Coturnix japonica: one gene and its partner. The protein of the gene in region 1 interacts with the protein of each later gene in a pairwise test. Links are inferred from orthologs where the notes say so. Each region holds a gene or a part of one and is shown in the gene's direction. Other genes may lie near its edges. The genes, in order: cadherin-1 and CBLL1.

Region 1 (3,338 bases):
AGTGGGGGCTTGGCTGGCAGAGAGAGAGCATGGGGTGGGCGTTGAGCTCCCCCTGACCGCTCCCTCTGCCCAGGTACCGCATGGGCAGCGACCCAGCAGGCTGGCTGGCCATTGACGCCCAGAACGGCATCGTCACGGCCACCCAACCGCTGGACCGTGAGTCGGTGCACGCCATCAACAGTACATACAAGGCCATCATCCTGGCTGTGGACAATGGTGAGGCTGTGCCCCCGCTGCAGGCAGATGGAAGCTCTGGGGATGTGGTCTCTTTGCCTCGCTAACGTCTGGCTTTGTAGGGGTGCCGGATAGCACCGGTACGGGGACGCTGCTGCTGCTCCTCCAGGATGTGAATGACAACGGGCCCACCCCAGAGCCACGGTCCTTTGAGATCTGCAGCCGGCAGCCTGAGAAGCAGGTGCTGAGCATTGTCGACAAGGACCTGCCCCCACATACCTACCCCTTCACAGTAGCACTGGAGCATGGTTCCAGCAACAACTGGACTGTCAGTATAATAAGCCAAGGTAAGTGCTGTGGGGTGTGGGACACTGAGCAAGGGCCAGATCCCAGCTACTTCTTCCTGTGCTACCCTGAATGCCACCAGCACTGAGCTGCTGCTGCTTTCATGATGGGGAGCTGCCATGGAGCAGAGCCCTGATAGTGTCTCCACACTTGGGGACGACTCTGAGCCCAGTTCCCTCTCTCTTGCACAAGATGAGCTGGCCGTGGGCCTGAAAAAGGAGCTGGAGCCGGGCGAGTACAGCATCTTTGTGAAGCTGACGGACGGCCAGGGCAAGACACAGGTGACACAGGTCAAAGCCCAGGTGTGTGAGTGTGAAGGGACAGCCAAGAACTGCGAGCGGAGGTCATACATCGTCGGTGGGCTGGGTGTCCCTGCCATCCTGGGCATCCTGGGGGGCATCCTGGCCCTGCTGAGTGAGTATGGTGTGATGGGGAAGTGGATGGGGCTGCTTTCCCCTCGCAGCGCTGACGCCATGCCCTGTGCTCGCAGTCCTGCTGTTGCTGCTGCTGCTCTTTGCCCGGCGACGCAAAGTGGAGAAGGAGCCGCTGCTGCCGCCTGAGGATGACATGAGGGACAATGTCTACAACTACGATGAGGAGGGCGGCGGCGAGGAGGACCAGGTGGGACCAGGGTGCCAGATCTCAGTGCTGCCCGTGGGATCCTTGCAGCACTGTTCCTATGGCAGGTGGCCCACAGGGGGGTTGCCATAACCATGAGGGATGTTTGGAGTGTGCAAAGCAGTGCCTGCAGCCATCCCTCCAGTGTCATGTTGCTGTTCTCTCTGCTCCATCCCCACGCAGGACTACGACCTGAGCCAGCTGCACCGCGGCCTGGACGCCCGCCCCGAGGTGATCCGCAATGACGTGGCCCCCCCGCTGATGGCCGCCCCCCAGTACCGGCCCCGGCCCGCCAACCCCGATGAGATCGGAAACTTCATCGATGAGGTGAGCCCCGACCGTCTGCGCCGGCACTGCTGGGCTGACCACAGCGTCCCCATCCCATAGGGCTGAGGCCGGGGGGGAGCAGCGGGTGAGCCCTTCCTCTGCCCTCCCTTACAGAACCTGAAGGCGGCTGACACGGACCCCACGGCCCCCCCCTACGACTCGCTGCTGGTGTTCGACTACGAGGGCGGAGGGTCGGAGGCCACCTCGCTCAGCTCCCTCAACTCCTCCGCCTCCGACCAGGACCAGGACTACGACTACCTCAACGAGTGGGGCAACCGCTTCAAGAAGCTGGCGGAGCTCTATGGCGGTGGGGAGGATGATGACTAGGCAGCCCTCGTCCCCTTGGCTGTCCCGCCACATGACTCTTGCCATTTCACCCCCTCGGACGTGCACTGGGTGTTGCAGCCAAAGCCCCCTCCAACAATATTGGATCCACCACTCGCATCCCTCCCCTTTGGTGCAGGGGAAGCTCAGGGTCACCGGGGTTGGAGGCTTTTGGGGAGCCCACGCTTGTCCTGCCCCCTCAGCCCCACACAGGACACGGTCCCATTTGGGGCTCCTTGTGGACAGGCTGGTGGCAGGCACTCCTTGGCCTGGAGGTGTGATGCTTCTGGATCAGCTCCCAGTGCCCGAATCCCACAGCCCCCAGCACGTGGATGGTGCTCAGCATCTCTCCCCCTGCAAGGAAAGAGGCCCCCATTGCCTCTCCCCCTTTGCTACAGAGGAAGGTATTTCTCCAGCACTCTCCATAATACCTCGTGCTCCCAACCCCGACATCACCGCTGCACTCAGGGGCTGGGGTGGCCTTTGTGTGGAGCTGCTCTTGAGTGTGCAACACAGGGTGGGCATCAGACCCACCAATGGCCCAATGATGTGGCATTCTCTTCACACAATACATGAGATAATTCTATTTGATATAGTACTTACGGGCAGATTTCTATTTTTTTGTATAACAGGTGATGATGCTTTTCCCATCTGTGTGTTTGTAATTATTGTTCTGTCAATGAGAGGTGCTTTCTGAAATCAAATGGCTTTACTTAACCTCCGAACCCCGCGTCTAAGCTGTTTTATATTTGTACTATGGGAAGGGGCCGATGCACGCTGGAAGGCCGGCGATTGTCTGAGTGTTAATTGATGCAATGATTTTTATATCAAATTGAAAGAATAAATGGTAAGAAAACCAACAGCTCTGTTTGTTGTGTGTACCTCTGCCCTGTGCTGCTTCCTTGGAGTGCTGCAGAGAGATGAGATGGGTTCATATCACAGCCCGTGTTTTCCCAGCACCGTGGGCTGAGGGCAGCACAGCCGTATCTAACAGCACTCAAGGTTTTACTCCCTGCCTGGACAGGAAGGGAGGAGCAGCAGATGGTGCGAAAACTGGACTTGCACCCAAGTGCCTTATCAGAGGAGCTGCACCCTGTGTGTGATACTGTGCCCCACTGACCAGCGTGGGGCTGCAATGCAGGCAGTGCTGCGATCGCTGATGTTTGCCCAGGCCTGTAAGGGCTCTGCTCGCTGCCCTGTAAGGCAATAGAAAGCAGAACACCGCGCCCTGCAGCGCCTGCGTGCATTCAGCCACCAGGGATACAAGCCGAGGACTCGCAGCCATCCCGGTTCCAGCCCCAGCGGAGCAGCTGCTGTGTGTGCTCTGCTTTATCTGTTTGTTTGACATACAAACATCTGGGGGCTGTTTGGCTGCAGCGCTGGGAACTCGCCTCGCCCCGCAGTGCTCCCCCACACACTGATCACAACAAGGTTATTGCAGCTCCAGGGTGAGCCGCTCCTGTCCCGGCTGCAGCCGGTGACACCGGGATGGTGGGAGCCGTGCCGACACACCGGGATGGTGGGAGCCGTGCCGACAGACACACCGTGCG
Region 2 (4,467 bases), on another chromosome or scaffold:
GAGAATTTTTCCTATATCATACTGCACTGAGAAGGATATTGCTGCAAGTAAGGTTAGTGGAAAATCTCAGGTGAAAAGCTAAGCACTAAGTACGTTATTCTGCCCTATGGACCTGAGTGAACTCCATTAAGATCATTGTAAAAAATCCTATAAATCTCAATCATATGGACAGGATCCTCACACAGTGGGCAAAGGCGTGAAACTGACATCTTTATTCTGTAATAAATGCAAAAAACTTCAGTTCTAATGGCAATCGGTGTCATTTTTTATTTCAAATGCAGTGGGGGTTTGAACCTCAAAGGTGCTGCTGGTACAGCCCAAGCTGGTGACAACATGACTTCTTATTACTGTTAAGCAAATGCCCTTTGTGTGCCAGACTGGCATCTCCATGAACTGGAACTAGGTGTGTGCTTAGGAGCCAAGCCAGACTGACCTGCACGTCCTGAGATGGAAGCATTTCTCAGAGTCTGTAATGCTTTTCTTTAGCCCTCTAGAGAAGGACCTGAGGATCCTGGTGGATGAAAAAAGTGAACAAGGCAGTAGCCTGTTCTTGCAGCTCAGAAAGCAAATGGTATCCTGGGCTCCATCAGAAGAGGGGTGGCCAGCAGAGACAGGGAGGTGATTGTCCCTCTCTACTCTGCCTTCAGGAGGCCCCATCTGGAGGACAGCATCCAGATTTGGGGGCTCCAATATAAGAAAGACAGAGAACTGCTGGAGAGGGTCCAGAGGAGGGCCACAAAGATGACTGGAGGACTGGAGCACCTCCTGTGTGAAGATGGGCTGAAGGAGCTGGGCTCATTCAGTCTGGAGAAGGATGGGGGGTGACCTCATTGCAGCCTTTCAGTATCTAAAGGGAACCTATAAACAGGAGGGGAGTCAACTCTTTGAAGGTGTAGATAACAGCAGGACAAGGGGAAATGGTTTTAAGTTGAACGAGGCAAGATTTAGGTTGGATATCAGGGGGAAGCTCTTTAATACAAGAGTGGGGAGGAGCTGGAACAGGCTGCCCTGAGAGGAGCAATGCAATGCACTTATCTCAGTCTTGGACTGTGTATTTCCTCAAGGTATGGCAGTGCTCTCAATTCAAATGGTACAAAGCATTCGACCTGTCCTGAATGTTGGTGTTCCACACAAAGTCTGAGGTGATGGTTCTGTATGTATCACTACAGCCTTTGCACTATGGGGTGCTACACTTGGAGATACATTTCACAACCCTTTTACAGATCTGTGTATTGAAGGCCGTTGTATCCACTGACTGAAAAACAAAAGCTGTGCGTACTGAGAAAACACTCCGTGCATCCGCATGGTATTCAGTCCTTGCAGATGTGTCTGTACGGATCCCAATGCTGAGCAGCACCCAGAGCAGTGTGTGCTTATGGCCCCCGCTCGGCTCCATGGCGCCATGGCCGTTTCCCCTCAGCGCGCTCCTTGCCGCTCTCCCCGCCCGTTGCCCCGAACCTTCCGCTTCCGGCCGCGCCCTTCCTCTCCCACAGCGCCCCGCGCCATGGACCACAATGGTGAGGAGGGCCGGGCCGGGCCGGGCCGGGCCGGGGGCTGCTGGGCCGCGCTGCCGGACGGGGGGCGGTTGTGAGCGGGCTGCGGGGCGGAGGGCGGCTGGGCCGGTGCTCGGGAACGCGTCGGGCCGCGGTGTGAGCCCGGGCGCGGGGCCTGAGCCGTGCCCGGAGCGCCGAGCTCGCCGTCCCCTCCCCCAGCGAACGCGGCCGATCCGCGCTCCGTTCTGCGGGGCCTGTGCGTCAGGGTTCGGGTTTGTGCTGTGTTATGGATTATAAGAAGGCCTAAAATGCTCAAGAAAACAGAGGAGCTCCGCTGCTGCTTGCATCCTCTCCAGGTCTAAAGATTTGGGTACAGCTGTTGTACTTGTTTAGGGCTGGGTGTGTATCCACAGACCAGAGCGTGTCTTACAGGCCTTATGAGGAGCGGCTGAGGGAGCTGGGGTTGTTCAGTCTGGAGAAGAGGAGACTCAGGGGAGACCTTGTTGCTCTCTATAACTTCCTGAATGGAGGTTGTAGTGAGCTGGGGGTTGGCCTCTTCTCTCGTGTAATCGGTGATAGAACTAGAGGGAATGGTTTAAGCTGCGCCAGGGGAGATTCAGGCTGGACATTAGGAAGTATTACTTCTCAGAAAGGGTAGTCAGGCATTGGAATGCACTGCCCAGGGAGGTGGTGGAGTCACCAACCATGGGAGTGTTCAAGAAATGTTTGGATGTGGTGTTGATGAATATGATTTAGCTGGGAAGTATTGGTGATGGTTGGACTAGATGATCTTGTAGGTCTTTTCCAACCTTGATAATTCTGTGATTCTGTCGTCCTTCTGGAAACAGGCAGGAGCAAGTAGGAGCCAACTCTGCCCGCTGGGTTTGGGGCTGTGGGCATTCGCTGGGCAGGGTGAGAACTGAACTGCTCCCGCTGGACAGCGCAATGGAGCGAGCGCTGTGCTGAGTTCTGACCTTGTGTTTGGTGTATTTATCAATGCTTGCAAATGGACCGACGTCTGTAGGACTGCTGTGGCCTGTAGTGCAGTGTGTTGTTTGCTGTGCAGCAGAGCAGCCCAGGGAGCGATCAGAGGAAAACAGGTGCTGTCTGATGAATGGATCACAAAATATGGGCACTTATAATACTGAAGCAAAGTGAGTGTGAAGGCACAGTCCTGATTTGGAACTTGGTTGCTGTTGCAGAGGAAAGCTGCGAGCTTTGAGGCACAGAGTTTACACGAGGTGTTGTGCACGGTGCCCTGATGGGGCCCTGTCTCAATGTCCAGGTACTGCAGAGCTGTCACCGAGTTGTGTGTCAGTTTTGTTTCGGAATGGAATTTGCCTTCTGGGTTACTTGTGATCTTACACACTTGTCCATCTCCTTTCTATAGGGATACAGACTTAAAGGCATCTGAACATCAGTCTGATAATGGGTTTTGTAGAAGTCTGAGTGTTTGTTGCAAAGTGCTGACTGAATGTGCTATTTTGTCTATCCATGTTCCTGTTAAAATGGAAGTGAGCTGGGTTGGTTTGTGAAGGGTGTGATTTTATTTTAGTATAAATGAGATGCTGTGTGGTAGGTTGAGGCAGACTTGCTGAAAGCCAGAGAAATTGGGGTGTGCACCAATCCTTGGCAGCACTTTCCTCTCCAGGTTGTCTCTTGGTGCCTGTTTTGGGCATATCCTTGTTTCCTTTGGTGCCAGTCTTAAATCTGGCCAACGCGCCCTGTAGAGAGGAATGGTGATCTTTAGCAAGGATGCTATGTACTCTAGGCACCAATATGTTTGTGATACTTCATGCTGAACTTGTAAATGATATGTCCAGGTGCAAAGGGTGGAACAGGCTGCCCAGAGAGGTTATGGATGCTCCATCCCTGGAGGTGTTCAAGTCCAGGTTGAATAGGGCCCTGGGCAGCCTGGTCTGGTATTAAATGTGGAGGTTGGCGGCCCTGCCTGTGGTGGGGGGGTGTTGGAGTTTGATGATCCTTGAGGTCCCTTCCAACCCAAGCCATTCTGTGATTCTGAGAACCTTCAGAAACTCTTTTGTAACTAAGAAATAACAGAATTTCCTTTTCTTCCACAGACAATGATTTGCAAGGAACAAACAGTTCAGCGTCATTGGGTGGGCTTGATGTTCGCAGAAGAATCCCTATAAAGCTGATCTCAAAGCAGACCAATAAAACCAAACCTGCTCCTCGGGCTCCCAGAGCTATGAACAGGATGCCTGCAAAGACACAAGCTGGGGATGAAGGTAAATTGCTACAAGCAACTCACCCCGCAGTGAGGCAGTGCATTCTGCAGCACTGCTGAAGGCTTTAGTCAGTGTTGGAATCCAAGATTTTTTACAGCTGCTCAGCCTGTTTAAGTTTCCAGGTTCTGCTGCTCTGTAAGGATTAAATTATGTCAATTCCCCAAACAAATTCACACTGTTTTGATTGTACCTTTCTGCAGAATAGCCCAGCAGACCGGGAGTGTTGCAGCCCGTCTTGATGTTTTCAGTATATGATGGTGCATGCACTCAATAGCAGCCGGTGTCAGTCAGGGAAGTGGTGTTGCCTTGTGTCTGTCTTTCCTCTTTCCACAGAAGAATTTGATTTTAATGAAGAGGAGCGATACGAATGCAAAGGAGGTGAAATGTTTGGAAATCAAAGGAGATTCCCCGGACCCATTTTTTGGGACTATAAGGTAAAATCGTGGATGGGAAATGGTGGAACTTTGTGAATTGTACCAAACTGAAGGTTATTTTAAGAAGTATCTACTAGGATGAAAGCACTTGCATTACTTTGATGTACCAAAAATACATTTTTATCTTTGCGGTGGTCTTGCTTCAGTCTGGTAATTCAGAAAGGGTGGGTTGGTGATGACTGCAATGAGAAGAAGCTTTAGTAATGGTTCTCTTTCTCTGTTCTTCTAGATAAACTTGCTGGGGGAGAAGGATGATACGCCCGTCCATTTCTGTGACAAGTGCGGATTGCC

Evidence for each region.
Region 2: the proteins of cadherin-1 (region 1) and CBLL1 interact in a two-hybrid assay, tested with the Homo sapiens proteins (2 studies listed by BioGRID, with this or other methods). The link is inferred for Coturnix japonica from reciprocal best matches to the Homo sapiens genes CDH1 and CBLL1.

What each region holds. Positions count from the first base shown.
Region 1 is NC_029526.1:16,832,585-16,835,922, forward strand, and holds the end of cadherin-1, read left to right. Parts: intron 1-73; coding exon 74-216; intron 217-296; coding exon 297-521; intron 522-711; coding exon 712-933; intron 934-1,009; coding exon 1,010-1,140; intron 1,141-1,320; coding exon 1,321-1,464; intron 1,465-1,578; coding exon 1,579-1,791; 3' UTR 1,792-2,650; downstream 2,651-3,338. Other genes in the region: TANGO6 (transport and Golgi organization protein 6 homolog), read left to right, coding at 3,277-3,307.
Region 2 is NC_029516.1:13,295,430-13,299,896, forward strand, and holds the start of CBLL1 (E3 ubiquitin-protein ligase Hakai), read left to right. Parts: upstream 1-1,386; 5' UTR 1,387-1,402; coding exon 1,403-1,517; intron 1,518-1,601; exon of another isoform or gene 1,602-1,849; intron 1,850-3,574; coding exon 3,575-3,742; intron 3,743-4,075; coding exon 4,076-4,176; intron 4,177-4,405; coding exon 4,406-4,467. UniProt on the Homo sapiens protein: E3 ubiquitin-protein ligase that mediates ubiquitination of several tyrosine-phosphorylated Src substrates, including CDH1, CTTN and DOK1. Targets CDH1 for endocytosis and degradation.